Drosophila melanogaster: one gene and its partners. The protein of the gene in region 1 interacts with the protein of each later gene in a pairwise test. Each region holds a gene or a part of one and is shown in the gene's direction. Other genes may lie near its edges. The genes, in order: CG7742, CG5614, CG12498 and Boot.

Region 1 (5,528 bases):
TTTTTTTGGCAAAGGCGCACAGTAGTGGCTTTGATGGTCATTTGAGTTTTATTATTTATGACAAAACGTGAAACACATTTGGAATGTCCCAGTGAGGTGACGGAATGGCACAATGGGAAGAGGGGTTGGGTTGGGTTGGGTTGGGTTGCTCTGGCGACCACAGTGCACTCACACAGTGGCACTTCGATTGTTTTTGCATAATTTTCAATGCCCAAAATGTGTATCTGTATAAATAGCTTGAGTTGAGTGTTGGCCACACTTGTGGCATAAGTTCTAATTCGAACGCTGACATTTTGGTGGCATGAAATTTAAGGCTAGATTTACGATGTAATTACCACTGCAAATTGTTCTGCCCAGGAGCGAAGTCAACCGCGAATTAATTAATTACTGACTTCCTATTTATTTTTAAATTGATTTTTAAAATTCTATTTCTGTTCTTTTTATAATTTAATCATATTTAACTTTTATGCAGAATTCCACTGCTATAATATTTTACTGCTCCTCCCTGGGCGCTACAGATGCACATATTTTGCAATTAGAAAAGCTTTCCGGTTACTTATTCGGTTGAACGAGACAAACTTAATTAAAAAGATTTTATGGAACCTAGAGCATATAAAGTCGGAAAATAAAAAAATCAGTAAAGGCCTCAACGGAATCGAAGAGAATGATGAATAACATCTTGGTCTTAATAGGTAATTCAGGCTGAGTTAATAATAAAGTCATAAAGTAATCGTGTTTTAGGCTTCTCGAGTGTTATGCTCGTTGCTGGCTTAGATGATATGAACTGTTTTTCCCTGCAAAACGAAATTTGTCCCAATGCCAACATTTCCTTTTGGCTATACACGTAAGATTAATGGTTTTATACTATGATTTTCATTATCTATCCGTATCTGCAGAAAAGAAAATCAGGAGGGAACTAAGCTTTCAGTTTTTGAACTTAATCGTTTTGAATTTTATCACCACAAACCGCTCAAGGTTCTGATCCATGGATTCAACGGGCACCGCGATTTCAGTCCCAATACCCAGCTACGTCCGCTGTTCCTGACACAGGATTACAATTTGATATCCTTGGATTATCCAAAACTAGCCTATGAACCCTGCTATACGGAAGCGGTGCACAATGCCAAATACGTAGCTCGCTGTACTGCTCAGTTGCTACGAGTACTCCTCGAGAGCGGATTGGTCAAAATTGAGGATCTGCACCTAATTGGCTTGGGCTTAGGTGCCCATGTCGCAGGCTTCATTGGGCAGTTTCTTCCGGAACACAAGCTGGAGCATATTACAGCCCTCGATCCGGCAAAACCATTTTACATGGTCAAGGATCCGGCTCTAAAGCTCGATCCCACTGATGCCAAGTTCGTGGACGTCGTGCACACGGATGTCACGATGCTTGGCTTACTGGATGCAGTGGGTCACGTGGACTTCTACTTGAACATGGGTGTATCACAGCCCAACTGCGGACCCATTAATAAGAGTTAGTAATATTAAGGCCATCTGCTTTACCTATATTTTTCATTTTCGTTGTTCTGACTTTAGTGGAGACTCATTTCTGCTACCATAACCGAGCAGCAGACTATTATGCCGAGTCTATTTCGTCACCTTCTGGATTCTATGGCTTCTACTGTCCCAATTTTAAAAGCTTCGCAAAGGGAATTTGCATTCCTGATAAAAATATAGAGCTGATGGGTTTTCACGTGGATCCGAAGTAAGTGCCAGCACCTATTTTTCCAGATCTCTTTTTATCTATTTAATTGCAGAGCCAGAGGCAGGTATTTTCTGGATACCAATAATGGTCCTCCTTATGCCAAGGGAGAGAACTTTACCTCAATAAGCCGCCAACTAAAAGGTCGAACTTTCGTGAACGATGATATTATAGATAAATTGATTGGAACGTAGTAAGGGATGCTATCCAAATCTTAAAACGAATATTTTTAATTCATAAATAAACATTGAATAATGTACCACATAGAGGATTATATATCTCTATTTTCGTGTAAAAATTTTTGCCATTTCAAAATCATATTTCGGCCTGGTCTAAATATTCAGGTGAAATACTTTCGACACTCTGACATGTTCAGGTGAGTTTGGCCCACCTTCGCAATCAACAGGAGGAGCCAACCCGACGACCACGTCAACAACTCGTTGGGCCAGGTGACAGATGCCAAGAAAAAGGAAAAGTTGCCGCCACTCAGTTTCAGTTTCAGCGTGTTTCGGTGTGCGTGAAAATAAATGTATATGGAAAGCAATTTCACGCGCCTCTGGCTTTTCATTCGAAACGAAACATAATGGAATTTCTTGGTTGCGAGGGGCGGCAAAACGAACGAATCAAATCACAACTAACGCGAAACTAGCAGCCAAACAAGTGTTTGCATTCCGTCGCCAAGAAGCGACGACAACCGAGGATGTGACTCGGAATCGAATCGACTCCAAATCAAAGCAGGCGACGGAGTTTGATCGATAAAAGTCAAACGACGGAGTTAGGAGCGCCCAAAGTTTTGGGGCTAATCGGTATCAAAACGGTGTAAATAGTTAGTTGGTAGTCAGTGGCAGAGTAATACGTAGAAAGAACGGTCGGGTCAAGGAGCTATCGGCATGGAGGAGCTGCAGGATGCCAGCATCCACCATATGACCGCAAAGGTAATCGCGGCCATCAAGAACACTAAGAGCTACGAGCCCATCTACAAGGAGCTGCAGAAGCTGGTCTGCAATCCCAGCGTAGATACTCACGATATGCGCAACACCCTCGAGGATGCCATCAAGAGCGCCGGACTGGAGACGGAGATCCGGAATATTGTCTACAACCTGGTCCGCACGCGGCTGTCGAAAACAGATGACAAAAACCTGGCCAACAAACAGGGAGCGGTGGGTACAACTTTTAAGATACAATTTATCAAATTTCTTGTAATTGAATTTAGAATAATTGGAGTGGTATTTAAAAGTATTCCATGCTGCTCCTATCATTTTCTACTTTTTGACTTTATTGGCAAAATTTTATTTTATACCTTAACGTTTATAAAACAAATTATAATGATACATAATACCGGAAGATCTCGAAGTGCCACAACTATAGAGTTAGCCTTAGGGGTATTAGTAGTATGTAGTGCTAGGGAAAATGAATTAAATAGTTCTTTACTTATGTCTATATTTTCCAATAGAAACCCACCGTTAGTGATCCACTTGGATATTTAAAAAGAGCTGGTGTGCTTTGGGATCGAAGGGTTAGGAAGAGTTTGAATGCCATGTGTACAGAGCTGAAGGTTCCATTGCATGGACAACCAAGGATCAGTGCTGATCGCGAGGACTTTATGGCCAAGTGGAACGAACTGAGCAACTACAATATGGGTAGGCATTTCGTAAATATTGAAGCTAACAATTAACCATGGTTAAACTTCTAGATCTGGCCAACTATAGGCCTGTTTACGCTCCAAAGGATTTACTGGAGGTGCTACTCTCGCTAAAAGGACCCGCCAAAACCACTGAAAATACAGAGTAAGTTTTGGTTTAAATCAGTCAGGTAAATAATCATTTTGCTCATTAGTCAAATCCCCCAATGGGAGTTCTCCCACATTGCACTACCTGTGAAAAATCTTTTCGAGCTGCGTGCCCACTACGCGGATCTGCTGCGAAGTGATAGCTATTTGGGAGTGCCGGATCTTACGGTTCAGTGCCAGAGGATTCTGGAGGCCAGGCATGCGCCCATGTGCCAGCAGTTTCTGAAGAAGGGCTGCACACCCGCACCTTATAGGGGAGCTCTCTGGGCTTCGGTGCTGGACAGCAAGCTACATGACTACGTAACTACTGATTTTGGGATCAATAACCTCATTATACATCTCTATACCCCCGAAGGATATTGAGTACTGGCAAAAGCTGCGCAATGCCGTTTGGACTACGGATCACATCGTTGACAAACTGGTCTTCAAGGACATTCAGTTGACGGCCTCCAACGACGACCAGTACTTTGTGTTCGAGGACGTGCTCTACCAGGTGCTGCTCTGCTTTTCTCGGGACACCGATATCGGTGGATGTGTGGAATACGAGACGTTTCCGGTGAAGGGCAAGACCTACGAAGGTCCTCCATCGGGTGTGGTGCCCTTCCACGGCATCTGCATGTTTGCCGCCCCCTTTTGTTATCTGTATGACTCGCCGGTGAGTCTATACTATACATTCCGGGCCTTCTATATCCGGTACTGCCATCGCTTGACCACCATAAACACGCATCCTCAAGGGATTGTCAGTCTGTGCCTGCTCTTCGAGAAGCTGCTGCAGACATACGAACCGCAGTTATGGTCCCATTTCCGAGAGCTTCAGATACAGCCGTGAGTTGGGATTGGGTTTTTCGTTAGACAGCTATTTCACCCATTTCACGACATATCTTTCCTTAGCCTGCGGGTGGTCTTCAAATGGCTTATGCGAGCGTTTTCCGGACATTTGCCTCCCGATCAATTGCTGGTCCTCTGGGATCTGGTACGAAATACACCTCCGTTCTTATTGGCAGTACTTATCCCTTCCTTTTCAGATCCTTGGCTTTGATAGCTTGGAGATCCTTCCTCTATTCGCCATCATCATTCTTAGCTTTCGAAAGGAGAGCATCATGCAGGTGGCCTCGTTGGATAGCATCGAAGCGATTCTGGCAGACTTGTCCTCTATCAAGGTGCTGCCCCTAGTGCAACTAGCCCTAAGTCGAGACTAAAAGTGTGGTTTTAAGTTACAAAATTAAAGTATTAAGAGTGTTTGGAAATATAACATGTATGCAACTGGATAAACTATATTTAATATAAAGTCGTAACATTATTGAATAACTAATTGCGTTCAACAAAATCCAGCCAAACGCCGCCTTTTAAGGCTGGCATAAAGTAGGTATCATCAATTTCATTATCCTTGCGAGTTTTGGGATTAACCTTGATGTCGAAGTTTCGCACGATTTCCACCAGGGCAGCTTTGATTTGGGTAAGTGAAAACCGCATACCTACAAATTATGCATAGATTTTTTTTAGTAACTTTAATTGTTTCAAAAATGATGTTACCCACCGGGGCAAATACGTGGTCCATCGCCAAACCCAAAGAATAGACCCTGATCTCTGTACTTTTTGGCTCCGCCATTGATGTTCAGGAATCGCTCGGGCTTGAACGATTGAGGTTCCTCATAGTATTGGGGATCGTGGTGCAAGGCGTTCACAGGAATGATGACTACATCCCCGGGTCTCAGTTTCACGCTCACTCCGTTTTTGTTCGTCAGTTCACAGGGCTCAGTTACCACCTTGCGGGCAGCCAGAACAGGTGAGAAAATTCTCAAAGTTTCTGCAGATATAGATATTATACGCATACTAAATAACTTCAGATTTCGCCAAAAAACTCACCATGGATGCAGGCTTCGGTGAAGGGCAGCTCACTTATCTGTTCAAAGGTCAGCTCGGCGGTACCGATCTCCTCCCTCAACTTCATCTGCTCCTTGGGATTGCGTGCCAGGAAAAGGAGTGTGTGGGTAAGCACTTGTGCGGTGGTCTCGAATCCGTCCGTTAAAAATGTCA
Region 2 (3,998 bases), on another chromosome or scaffold:
CAACTTTCAAAAACTAATTGATAATTAATGAAATAAAATCCCGTCTTCATCTTTTGTTGCCTCTGACGCGCTGCCAACGAAATTCTCGGCTCAATTTAATTCCCTTGAGAGGCAATTATGCCTGAAAGGAGGAGGCACTCCTCCATTAACCCCCTAAAGCCCCTATACACACCGCTTTCTTTGCCTGCAGTTTGCTTTTGTTCAATTTGCTGGCCATTTCGCCTGCAGGCCAAAGGATCCAGGATTCTGGCCCTGGAATGGAAACAGAAACAGGACCAGAGGCCCAGCAGCAAATGGGGGAAAAGCATAATTAATGCGATTAGCAAAATGCGAAAGTGTCACTGAAATAACAACAATACGGCAATGATAATAGCCAAAAAGGAAGCCATTCCGGCAAAATAAGAAATACCCTTTCCATTCACTATTAAAACAGATAGCTTAAAAACATCTTAAAAGTGTAAACTGAATTTAGAGGCATATAGCACATATATTAAATAAAAAATATATATTAAAGGAATATTATAGCTGAGAAAAATTCAACTAAATTTTGAATTTAAATGCAATTTGATTATCGATTAAAATAACGATTTGTATATTTAGATTAATTTGGATCTCAACTGCTTTGAAGTACTGAAATGCATTCAGCCTTAGAGTAAGGATATATTTCATAGGCAAAACATTTCTTTGGAAAAACCCTCTAGTAGTTCGTACTCTTCTCATTCGAGGTCAGTTCAGGTCAGGCTAAGTTGACCCCGATGCCACTTAACGGGTTCGAGGCTCAGCAAACCAGCGGAAATGTGTCGCAGCCATTTTGGCTAATTGGCTTTGCTTTGCTACACCAATAAAAATTGGTAGCAAGATAAACCGGAAATGGCGCAGCATTGAGCTTAATATATAGATATGTTTATCTACCAAATTTCGCCAGGATTTTTTGCTGCCTTGCCAACACTTTTGCTAATTAGTCGAGCAAATATTTAAGCGAGGGCTGAGTGGAAAACTTTAAGGCTAATGCGGCTGGCATTTTTCACCGATGAATTTTTGTGCTCAAAAAACTTTTGGCTGGCTATAAATCAGCTGCTACCCCTGCCCGGCCATTCGCTCTTAACAATTCCATTACAAAAATTAAAAGCAAATGCAAAGATAACTTTTTCCAACAAGCCTGGGAAAAAATGGCAAGAAAATAGTTATTAAATATTTCTTTGGCTCAATCGCCGAGCGAACTTTTGCAGCACCTACACATAAATGAAAAGAAAAACTCACCAGCCAAAAAAGCAACCAGAAGTTGATCCTGATAAAGTTTTGTGTATATTTTTTTCTACCATTCTCGTTAGCTTTTTTATAAACTCTTATAAACGTATTAATTTGTGTGATTATCGCCCTAGAACTTAAAAGAGCAATGGGTTTTACAAAGGAGATTACCAATATATTATTCCACAACAAAAAGAATTTTGATATTTATTAAGTGTTTTTTTTTTTTTTGTTTATAAAAAAGTAAAATATCTTGTCTACAGGTTTCCTTACACCGATTGAATAAAATTCTCAGCCAAAACTTAGGTTCAACAACTTCAACTAATGGCTAATATATGCGCAGACTGACCAAACTTCAAGGTTATCTGAATGATTAACGAGTTGGACTGATTTGGCAAGTGAAATAAACTTTCCAGACATTAGTAGAAAACATGGAGAGTGGCCAATAAAATTCGAATGATCTCAATCATTAAGGAGGCTGTGTGAAAAAAGGCTAAGCTGAAATTTCTAGCATATGCCCACAACTAAACTCGTATTCAAATTGAACGTACATAAATTGTTGAGGTCATCAGTGTAGATATAAAATTTATAAAGTGTATGTTTTGTTAACTTAAATTAGTTTAGTACAAAATTCACAACCATGAGTTCGCATAAGATTAACCTGGAGAATGCCTACCAGAAGATGATAGAACAGAATATCAAAAGTCAGTTGGAGAAAAATGGAACCATGGCGGCACTACGGAGCGAAATGCACGTGAAGATCCTCCAGATGATACGTGGCCAGCAGAATAAGTCCAAAGTCCAAGCACTAACTGGTGGATCCAATCAATCGGAGGATCACAGCCTGGTCAAGCTGATCAACCAGATGATTATGGAGTTCCTCGATTGGTTCGGCTACAAGCACACCATGGAAACATTTCGCATGGAGACGGGTGAAAACGTGGCCAATCGCAGGGAGATGGAACAAAGTCTACACATCACACCCGAGTCAAAGGATTTTCCGCTCCTGGCTCAACTAGTTATGCGCGATTGGAAGTTCGGTGTGCAAAAAGGAGGTTCCAAAAAGTTGGTTCAGCTACCGGATCCTATGGAGGCCACTGTGCAAAGGAGTCGAAAATTGGTACAGGAACTAAAAGTTATGAGAGCACAAAAATCAGAAGTTAACCAAGGCAGACTAGTTCAAAACAATCGAAAACTCATCACTAATAATACGTTCACGAAAGGTCTCACACCCAAGAGCATTAGTACTCCACCTCGTTCGATCAAGAACGAGAATCCGAAGTCATACGTAGATAGTTCTGAATCCGATGTCCTGGAATCGGATTACAGCGAAGAAGAATCGGAGGACAGTGACGCATATAAGGACATACCCGATAGACAGATATTTATCGATGACTTGCCGCCAGAGGGAAAATATGCCCCAAATTATGGAGAAGAAGGTCCTTTTGAGGGTAAACAAAATCAGGCAAATGAACGCGACAATATTCCGAGCACATCGAGGAAGCAACATTTTTCAAGGAAGCCAGAAACTGAAAGTTCCGACTCTGATGATAAGCCTTCGATCAGTGGAATAAATAAAGTTTCAAGGCAGGACTATTGGAATTCCCCGCGAGGAGTGCAACTACGGAACAAAAATACCTTAAAACCGGAGGAAGAATGTGATACCCACATAAGAAAAGTCAATTTAGACAGCGATTACAGCTCGGATGAAGATTGATCAATGCCAGAAGTTCCTTATTTTTAAATTAGAAAGTCAATTTGTGTATGACAGTTGTCTTGGAAATTTCTTGCAGCTACACTAATAAACAATACATTTTGATTGGAGCATTTTTTTTAATTTTTAAGGATATTAAGGATTCTTAATGCGCATCTCTTACTTGCGAAATATTTAGATATTTACTGCCTTGCCTTTCAATTAATTACTGCTGGAGTTTACTGCTGGTTTTCTATTTAATATTCGAAACACAAACCACGAGGTTAACAATTAGTTAACTCGCCTCCGGGTCAACGGGGCTAAGGGTAAGGAATGACCAAAATGGCAGTCAATGGGGGACCGGCGACCATTGTGTTACATCATTATAATTGAAATCAATATCCCCCAGACGATGGCCACCCCCGATGGAAAGGGGGTGGTGGCATGAGGTGCAGTAATCGCGAATCGGATGCCGCCTGTCAATTCGATTGCATTAAAATGGCGTGCGAGTCTTAACACCATTAATTACAACGGCAATGAGTCAATATTATGACAGTTGCAACTGTGACCCCGACAACAAAGCGAACACGGTGGTGGCCGAAACCAAAGCCGGCCGACAACATCCTCAATCAATTAATTAGGCCTATCGGGAATGTCGTCGGAGGTCTCTGACCCTCTTAAGCAATCCGGTGTGCGATTGATTGATTTTATGCAGATGGATGAAACCCGAAAAGATGAATGGCGAAAACAGATATTGTTCAGGTGGGGTTTTCAAAACAAAGAGGTAAGTATTTGGAATGAACAATCTATTCACTTTTACAAATAATCTAGTTGCTTAAATTCCTTTCATTTTATGGTAAGAAAACTTGCTCGTAATAATACTAATACCAATGATTGCAATCACATCCTTTAGTTTGCTCTACTCTATCCAAACCAAACGGCAGGCACTTACATACAAGCACCCAGTAAACGATGGCCAACTGGTGCCTACATATATACGGATATATACGGATATACGCGGAAATATATACGAATCCACATGGAGCATATCAATAAC
Region 3 (4,165 bases), on another chromosome or scaffold:
AAGTTTCCCTGCCTCGCTGCCAACTGGCACCTCGCAACTGGCAACCGGCAACCGGCAACTGGCAACTGCCCCTGGCCTAGTCACATTTACCGCCCGCTCCGCCTTGTGTCTTTCCTTTTATTTTTTTTTTTTTTTTTGACACGGGTATCCGTATCCTAGATTCGTTCGCAGCCAGCCTGTGTCCTCCGCCATTTATGGTACGGGAATTTGCCAGCACTTGAGCCTTTGAATTTCGTGGGTGCGTTTGCATTCCAGCAACTTGAATCAAGAAGTCCAGCTCAAATGCTAACTAGTAACTAGTGAACGTTTGATTTAAGTGGTGAGCAGTAATTAGCAGAGGGGGAAAAAAATGGTGGATCCTAATAGTTATTCGTACTAGCTTCCATATATATATTCTTGCACTTCATTAGGGTTTGAGGACCGAAGAGCACTGCTGGCAGCACTGCAAAGGGTTAAGGGCTTGGCATGTCAGCCAGCTGGACGAGGGTTCCGGCCTCCTTCGCAGCTTCTCCACCGCCTTTTGCCTATGGTACATACATACATACGTACGTACTACGTACTACCCATGACACTACTCATGGGCGCAAACTTTGTGCACAGCCTGTCAACGTCAAGGAGTGGCCAACTGGCCTCCATGGCGGTGGTGACTGTACCGCGCCCCCGGCCTAAAGGTGTTCGAGGAAAAGTTCTTGAGCCTCGTCGACTTGATGTTGGGTCCTCCAGTTGGACCAGCTGATGCCGTCATGATGGATGGGTCTCATGGCGTTTAGAATTTTCTAGGATTTTTCACACTCATAGCCATCCAGTGTTTAAATTATTCGCATGATGTTCAGTTTTACGCCGTTTTAATAACTTCAACGCCACATGATTTGTTTCAAAAGTTCGCCCGAGGGATTGTCTCCCACGCGCCATCTCCATAAATTACGCCAATTTGTAGATATCTCTTAAGCAGGAAATATTTTCATTTGCCTGCTAAAAAGATTCCATTAAATTTTGATTTTTCTATTATAATTTATAATTTATTTATAAATCCAATATAACCGATTAATTACCAATTTTTGCCAGTGTTTCTTTCGCTTTATGGCCAAAAAAAAAAAAAAAAGAAAGCATCATTGAAATCGAAGGGAATTTCTGTTGGTCAGCTCATCGAAGATGAGATGAGGTGTTGGATACTTGAGCAGGGGAGGAGAAGATGGCCTGAATAGCGATGCTGATGTGGCGGTGGACAAGGATATGGATGTGGATGCCGATGATGCCGATGATGCCGATGATGACGATGATGATGATGATGATGATGATGATGATGACTGAGCTTGCATAAACGAGTTTGCCCTTAAGTGTATGCGCATGCTGAAGGATGGGGCGGCGGATCCAAAGGAACTGGCTGAGGGAGACTCCAAAATGAGGTGCTGTTGAAGGTGGTGGTTGGCAGGGGGTGTCAGGAGGGGGTCGCAAGGACGACAAGCAGAGCGAGGAGAATTTGTGCGTGAGCAGCATTTTCGATGTGCCACACATACAACCAAGTTATTTATGCAGACTCACATACAAAGCATGCAAAGATTTTGCATTACCCTTCCATCAGGCAACCACCGTCCTTCCATTAACTCGCCACCATACACCATACACTACCCACTTTCCACTACCGATTACCCACTATATCCAGTAGCCAGTAGCCAGGCATCCACCACCCACTGAATGGGCTCTGTGCCAGCATCAAAAGTAGCATCTGCCCGGGAGGTCCGCATACAATTAGCTGCAACTGTAATTAAAGCAATTGTATAATAAATCTTTTGCCAAATGGGAAAAGATCCAACCCACTCTCGCTCCTTTCAACCCCAGCAGGTATATATAATCGGCAAGGGGGGAAAATGTGGGCTTAAGCAGCGGGTGCCAAGTGAAATGCTAGCCAAGGAAAAACTACGAAATTAATATAAATTTAATAGTTTGGCCCCTGGCATTTATGGAGGGCATAAAACGAAGGCGGGTCGTTAAATGCATTCAAATGGATCAGCTAGAAAAAAAAAAAGAACGAAATGAGTGCCCTGCAAAATATTCTACAGCTTTACGGTCTATACTTACTCGAGTTTTTGAAATGTGGCTACCATTTTCGAGTTGAGCACAAATTTATTCGGGTTTGCTGTCGCCCCCACGGATTCAGTTGTCACAATTTGGTTTGGTCAAGTAACAAGCCGAAACCCTTAAAAAATTGTTCGAATGTTGATTGAGGAAACCTTTTTGGCGAAGCTCACATAAGCCCACTTAAATGTCTAACCAGCGATCCCGACACGTTCGTCGTCCGGCAGCGGAAATAGTCCGCGAACTGAGGAATCTTCGCGCCTCGCCTCTGCGGATCGACGACGAGAACGAGTCGTGGGTGAATGGCTACGAGAAGCCACCAACTCCGGATCTACCGGTGACCAGTCGCGATCAGTTGGAGCTGCTACGTCTGAGCCGCCATCGAATCGGTCTGCTTCTGGTTCGACCCGCCTTCGAGCAGGCCGTCACTGGATGCTTTGTCCGCGTGAATGTCAGTGGGCAGGGAGAGTTGCCTGATCATCGAATCGCCGAGGTGCTGGGCATCTGCGAACTGGACTTTGGCTACAAAGTGGAGCAGATACCCACGAATGTGGCGCTGCGATTGCGCTACGATGACCTGGAGATGCAGCACGAGATTAACGATGTCTCTAACCTGAACTTCACCCAGGAGGAATTCGAACTGTGGCGCGATAACTGTGTTAACCAGGCCATAAGTCCACCCACCACCCACATACTGACGCGCAAGAAGGTCGAACTGTACAACGCACTGCAGTTGGAGGCCAAGCCTTTAAGCCTGATCCAAAGGACCTTCTCCTTCGCCCTGAGGCCCCAGCAGAAAATCGGCATCATGGAGCGGCATGGCGTTGTTTATCCCTGGCAATTGAATCATTCGCTCCCGTTCGTTTCGCAATCGCCAACTGAAAATCCATCGAGGGGAAAAGCGGATACCGTAGACGAGGAGGAAGATCCGGGGGCAGCTGCTCCATTATTACCAAAAACTGAACCAAATTAATAGGCAATTGTTAATTTTTGAACATTTATTTAGCAAAGATAATGGCAATTGGTGGAACTTTTAATGGCTTGTTATCATAAATAATTACAGTCATAATTGTTGTGCGAATTTTTGGACTTAAAATGTGTTAAAATGTAATCCATCGAACTGGTTGAAATATAATGAACACCAGCGGATTTTGTTTATATAAATTAGGAGGATCTATGAGCGCTCAAGCTTTAATAAAAGTTTATGCTTGGAGTTTAAAAATGATTTAAGTTCAAGGGTGTTGAATGCAATTTGGAACTTACACTTTTACAGCACCTATAAATTCTGCAAATAAAATGTTTTTAAAACGATACAATGTGGGAGCGTGGGGAGTGGAAATTGGGGGACACTTAAATGCCGTGCAATTAGCAGTGAAACAGTGAAAGAGCAAAGAGATTGAGATGGCCAAGGTGGCCAAGAAATTCGACCCCTTTGAACGGCTTTTGTCGCCGGTGTGGCGCCACCTAGCGGCCAGCCCCTTTGCAGATTTGGGAGCAACTTTGGCACGCTAATGAACAACAAACTTGGAGCAACGTTACGAAATGGCAACAAAATATCGTCAATAGGGCAAAAGAAATGACGGAAATTAAATGAAATGCAATTAACCAGCTAAATGAGCGAGAGTCCGCGAAAGGGGGGCGTTCTGCTGGGGGTGGGGGGCGTGGCTAACAATCAAGCGACTGATGAGCAATTAGGAAATGTAAAATTAGCAAGTGAACTTGGCCAAAACGAAGCGAAGACAACAAGGCAATTAATTCATATTTAATTGATTGCAAAAATTCCGAGGCAAATTCGGTGGGTAACATTTTCCATTTCTTGGCTGTGTACAAACTTGTGTGTGTGTCCTTCTTTTTTTTTGTTTGTTTAATTTTCCATTGCCTAATTACGTTTGTCCAGCAAATGTTTTTCTCCTGTTTTTGTCGTTTTATTATTACATTTTTCTGCTGGTTTGCTTTATGATTATGCCTGTGTTTTTTTCCGGCTACTTTATTTTACATACACAAAAATGTCACTTAATAAATTTTACGACTGTTTTATGTTGTCGCTTTGGCCCTAAAAACGGCAACGAAATAGAAGGTGGGATGGCCA
Region 4 (5,241 bases), on another chromosome or scaffold:
TACATATTATTTCGTTCTAGAGTATAATTTACCTTTTCAAAGGAGAGATCCTTGTTTGGGCATATGACGCGACAATCAAAGGTGGTTTTCTTGAACACTGCAAAATGACAAAAATTAAATGGTTATAAAGAGCAGCAACCGATTTTCTAAAAAACTTATAAAACACAAAAATAATAAAATGAAGGGGTTTCAGTAAAAACTCGTATAGCTTCATAACATTTTTCAGTCGAAAGATGGTGTAAGTTTCATTCATCACAACACAATTAATTGTCCAATTTACACATAAAATTTAAACTAAATTTTTTTATTATCTTAAACCGAATTATTACCTTTTTCACTGTGTTAGTGAGCCACGTTTGATACATGATATTGACGTTGCAATGAACTGAAATTAAAATATATTTGTGTTATTCAAATGTAACAATCTTTTTAACAGGTTTTTTTAAAGCGTTTAAAATTCAGTGAAAACTAGTATAGCATCAAAATGATTTTCAGTCGAAAGATGATGATAGGGTCATTCATCACGAAATTTTAAGTAGTTTTCATAAATGAAGAGAATAATTACCATTTCACGCTGATAACCTCATTTATATTCCGAATCCAAATCGAAAGACCGATCTGCAAGTAATAGATGAGTTCTCATAAGTCACGGCCACAAGTAAAAATTATATTTAGTTGAGAGTCGAATGTGTCAGAATTAGTTATAACTGATTTGAATCACAACGGTTCATAAGAGATGTCAGAAAATAGAATTATAAATCATCAGATAACTGAGAAGGGCTAATTTGGGATTTGGAACGAATTCTTACCGTCTGTCTCTCTCCAACTCTGCCAGAAAACACGTGTTGAGCATAAGAGGCCATTTTGTTTCTGAAAATGGAATGCTGGGTTAGCCATATTCGCAAATACTAAACTTAGCTAGTTAAGAGGGTTTAAACTGTCAGCTTCACGAAAATAATATGCACCGCAAACTCGGGTTTTTTAAATTTGGGTTATGCTTGGGCAAAGCACGTTTTTCTGCGAGCAAGTAAAAAGCACTAGCTAAAGTAGTAGTTTCTTTACACCAGCGACTCATGCTCGCATGAAAATATTAATATTATTTAACAAAAATATAAATAAATACAATGATGAAACTTACCAATTCACAAATGCCAGCGCTTTAACGCAGCGCCTAGTAATCACAGATTCACCTGCAATATAAGCAAACGCATCGTTTAGCTAACGTTCTTTTTTAATTTTTAATTTGTTGAGACTGCAATGGAATCTCGACCACGTGACTGCAATTTGAATTGCAATCGGTGAAGTGCATTTCCCTGCGCATCACAAATTAATCTTGCAACATTGAGTTCTGCAAACAAGCCAGTAGAACTCGATTTGCAGTTATAATCGCTGCACTCACCGGTCGCCTATCATATCTATAATACTTACATTTTTATATATATTTTTTTAATCGTTTCCAATGCGGTGATGTTCGCTCCACGTTCTTTAAAAAAGTGAAGAGAAGCCAGTGAAGTTGGCGGCGATTGGTGGTGCAGTGTGCACGCTGCTTGTACTTTCAAGAATACTGAAACGCCTAACGCCTGCGTTTGTGGTCTGTTTTCAAGGTGGCGCACTGTTATGAAAAACTGATTTACCAAAACAAGTTCGCATTGAACGATTTAAGTAAATACATACAAGTTATTGCCCCATATTAAACTTAAGTCAATACTTGATTTAATTTAATAAAGAAGAAAATAAACAAAGAAAAAGAATTCACACAAATAAAACACTAATAATATTTTATGTTTAATAAACTTTAAATAAAATGAATAGATCTTAGACAAATACTACCCGACTAGAAAATACTCTTACTCAGCTAGTGGATATGCGAACACGAAAATTTATCATGATAGATACTGCTAAATAAAATGAGAAAAAATTAAAAATTGTTCATAAGTGTGTTTTGAGCGTTTTGTAATTATAAGGAGGGGTGTGGCAAAGGTGCTCGACTTGGCTATTGATCCTGATCAAGAATATGCTTTTGTATACTATTTTACACTACGAGTAACGGGTGTAAAAACTCAAAAGCTGACCAGTGCAAAGAAGTTTTACTTCGATTTATCCGGGTGGTAATATTCGATTGCAGCACTTGCAGCTCTACAAACGCGGTGGTTCTAACTGTTTTTCTTGCGGACCAGACTGACGCGGCGCCAAGCTTTTTTTGTTTCTATATTTTAGGCTTAATTGCGAGTGCACGATGACGGATTTCAATGCATCCGGAGTCATTCTGTCTTTGGGTACGTAAAAATGTCTGCTCAATTTGTGATCGTCCTTAAAATATTCGTTTTTTTTATCTGACAGATGAGTACTTCGAGCAATGCGTAGTACCAAAACCCAGAATACCACCACGATACTCGAGTAATGCAGCCCCCAAGGGCGATAATCGCCAGCTGGGGCACTTGCAAACCTACAAGGACCAGGATCAGGGTGGCGATACCGATGTTGAAGTTGAAGATTTCCAGGGTTCCGTGCTAGCAAATGGCCAATCAATTCTAACCGAGTTCGATTCCAATGTTTCGCAAATCAACTTTGAGATTAATGACTTTGATAAGGTGTACTGCGAGACGGAGTCTCAAAGCTCGGAGGCCTCACAAGGCTCAGCCACGTGGCGCATGAATGGTAACAACGTCAACCGGCCATCAGCGGCGGCTCAACTGGGGCTCAGTGACCAGGCACGTGGTCACGTTAAGTCGCGCCTTGATCTGAGAGAAGGCTCTCGATTTCGTAATAATTTTAACAAGAGACGCAATCGTCAGTATAATCACCATGAACGGAATGAATTCCATCGTCATCAGCACCAGCCCCAGATTGCCAAGAAGGAGGTCCTGCGCTACGCCTACAATGCCTTCAGCAGTCAAGAAATCCATTCAAATCAACAAACTGACCTTGACATTGATGTAAATAAACATTTCCAGTATACTCACCAGGCACCCACTGATCCGCGTAGCAGCCGCAACTACATGGGACCTGACCACTACGACTGGACCGGCTCCACCTCGATCGGCTCTTTAATCGATTCGGTGTCCCACATTCCGGATAATCGTGTCAAGAACCATTTGCCTTGTGAAACCATCACGCGTTACACGGACAACTCGATGAATGTGTTTGCTGGAGAAGCGCAGGATATTAATAAGCCGCAGACTGACCTGAAACCCGCAGCAGTTGATTCCGAGAGCATGAAAATCAGTAAAATGGCCCACAACGTGATGCTCTTGCTCAAGAGCGTTGCCCAGCAAAACAACCAAGGAGACTCGTGTGACATCTTCAAGGTAATATTCGAAATCATGTGTAATCTAATACCACACAATAGAGATTTGAAAGAAAGCCTTACAAACTGCACGTGTAAGAAAAAAGGCATTAAGCTTCAAGAAATGATTCATATTAACTTTGTATTTTTAAATAAGTTTACGGTTTTCTTATTTAAGAACATCGACTGGATAAACGGACCGATGGAGGAGTCCCGAAGTGTCGCATTGCCTGAACGTGAAGGAGGAAGGGACCAACTGCAACGTTTTAACTAGAAAACCGACATCAAGTTGCATTTAAGGGATCTATCTGACTTCTGTTATTTCTAAGTACTCAGCAGCCCATGTTTAAATTAAGTTCGCCGGATTGGCGGGCACTTTCTGTGCGAATTGCGAGTCGACGCAGGCAAGAAGAAGACGATTTCGACGATGCCCAGTGAATGGCAGGGGTGAATAGTCGCTTTCTGCCTCTTTTTTTTATATATATAACACATATTTCGGCTGATAAGAACAGGCTGGGCCTCTTATCAGTAATGCACAACAAGAAGTACACACGGACGAACGAGATGTGAGAAGCGAAAGCGGACGAAAATAGAAACAAACGGCGATAAATTTACAGCGAAGGCGATTTTATATACATACATAACTGATGTGCCGGAGACGAACAGAGTAATAATCAGTTAATCTGCCAAGCACCCAGAGAGCGGACGTGAAAATGATCATCGGGATCGGATAGCGGGATAGTTAGTAGTGATCGTAACTTAGGATAGTGTGCTAAACACTAACCTCAACCTATGTTTTGTGCTTTGTCGAGTGTAGAACGAACACGCAGTTATTTTGTTGTTTGTGCAAAAGCATTCGAAAGTGGCCAACTGAAGAAAGAGCCATCGATTCTTTGCATTTGGTTACTTTTATAGCGTAGTCTTTTTCCCAAACGATTTTCTTAACGAATACGAAATAAACTGAACACAGTACCCTAAATGTGCGTTGTTCGTCTTCGGTAGTGCCAAGCATGTTGAAGTCGAAGCAGTTGCTCCAACAGTTTTCCAAAGGTAAGGATGTGTGGGTTTCCGGAGCCGAAATGGCACAACTTGAGGTGTTTTACACACCCTAGCTATCTGTGTTTTCGTTGCCGCCTCCATTATCAGCCTTAGGCATGTGCTGGAGTAAACTAATACCATATCACCAGATCCGTAGGCTCGCCTTGACAGCCTTAATCGCATCTGACGCCGACCAAGCCGAAGATTATCAGTAAACACTTTTTCGCCAAATTCTTTGTCACGATGAACTTTCCCCACGCACACTGGCTGACAAAATTATTCGCTCAGAAAGTGGATATTATCTTAAATATCCTTTTTGGTTTCCGGATTAACTTAACTTAACCAACTTTTCAACAAGTATTGAACGCAGATCTCAAAGTGTGTGTCACTAAACTTTGTTATGCTATAATTATATTGATTATAAACAAACAAATTTTACATACTGGATAGCTTGATTTTACTTATCTTTAATAATGGTATTTAAAGCTCACTGCAGTATGTCAAACCATTAGGAAAATCTACGAAAAACATGATTGGTACAAACCAAATACATAACATTGTTTCATTAAAAGTTTTAGAGGGAAAATACTTTCCACTTGCACTGTGTTGTTTATCAGCTGTTCCGGGAAATTTCCATTAAAACCTAGTAGTTACACATCGATTTCGGCCGTAGGATGCTTCAAAACGGCAGGAAGATTATTCCCGAGGGTTTGAGTAAATTTCCCGTGACGAGGACCCACATTTGATCGGACTAACGAGGTCTTTCGCTTGCAATTGCCATTTTGAACAGAGTACGCTAAATATACGCCGACCAACTTCAAGCTAAAGCGGGCCCTGGTCGTCACCAAGCTGTCCCGCTATGAGTTCGAGCAGCTACGCCACCCGGAACTGTCTCCGGATCAGCTCCAGCAAAAGCT

What was found.
Region 2: the proteins of CG7742 (region 1) and CG5614 interact in a two-hybrid assay, tested with the Drosophila melanogaster proteins (one large-scale study listed by BioGRID).
Region 3: the proteins of CG7742 (region 1) and CG12498 interact in a two-hybrid assay, tested with the Drosophila melanogaster proteins (one large-scale study listed by BioGRID).
Region 4: the proteins of CG7742 (region 1) and Boot interact in a two-hybrid assay, tested with the Drosophila melanogaster proteins (one large-scale study listed by BioGRID).

The regions. Positions count from the first base shown.
Region 1 is NT_033779.5:5,211,651-5,217,178, reverse strand, and holds CG7742 (uncharacterized protein), read left to right. Parts: upstream 1-2,097; 5' UTR 2,098-2,592; coding exon 2,593-2,862; intron 2,863-3,018; exon of another isoform or gene 3,019-3,027; coding exon of another isoform or gene 3,028-3,093; intron 3,094-3,155; coding exon 3,156-3,342; intron 3,343-3,395; coding exon 3,396-3,489; intron 3,490-3,538; coding exon 3,539-3,791; intron 3,792-3,846; coding exon 3,847-4,316; intron 4,317-4,382; coding exon 4,383-4,464; intron 4,465-4,516; coding exon 4,517-4,690; 3' UTR 4,691-4,784; downstream 4,785-5,528. Other genes in the region: CG14034 (uncharacterized protein), read left to right, coding at 665-692, 742-844, 897-1,474, 1,537-1,705, 1,758-1,896; Cyp28d1 (cytochrome P450 28d1), read right to left, coding at 4,800-4,966, 5,029-5,298, 5,358-5,528.
Region 2 is NT_033777.3:15,778,022-15,782,019, forward strand, and holds CG5614 (uncharacterized protein), read left to right. Parts: upstream 1-1,783; 5' UTR 1,784-1,888; coding exon 1,889-2,965; 3' UTR 2,966-3,071; downstream 3,072-3,998.
Region 3 is NC_004354.4:2,807,704-2,811,868, forward strand, and holds CG12498 (uncharacterized protein), read left to right. Parts: upstream 1-2,177; 5' UTR 2,178-2,263; coding exon 2,264-3,049; 3' UTR 3,050-3,143; downstream 3,144-4,165.
Region 4 is NT_033778.4:9,091,527-9,096,767, reverse strand, and holds Boot (bootlegger), read left to right. Parts: upstream 1-2,109; 5' UTR 2,110-2,236; coding exon 2,237-2,276; intron 2,277-2,340; coding exon 2,341-3,308; intron 3,309-3,464; coding exon 3,465-3,560; 3' UTR 3,561-4,262; downstream 4,263-5,241. Other genes in the region: Nadk2 (NAD kinase 2, mitochondrial), read left to right, coding at 4,999-5,038, 5,115-5,241.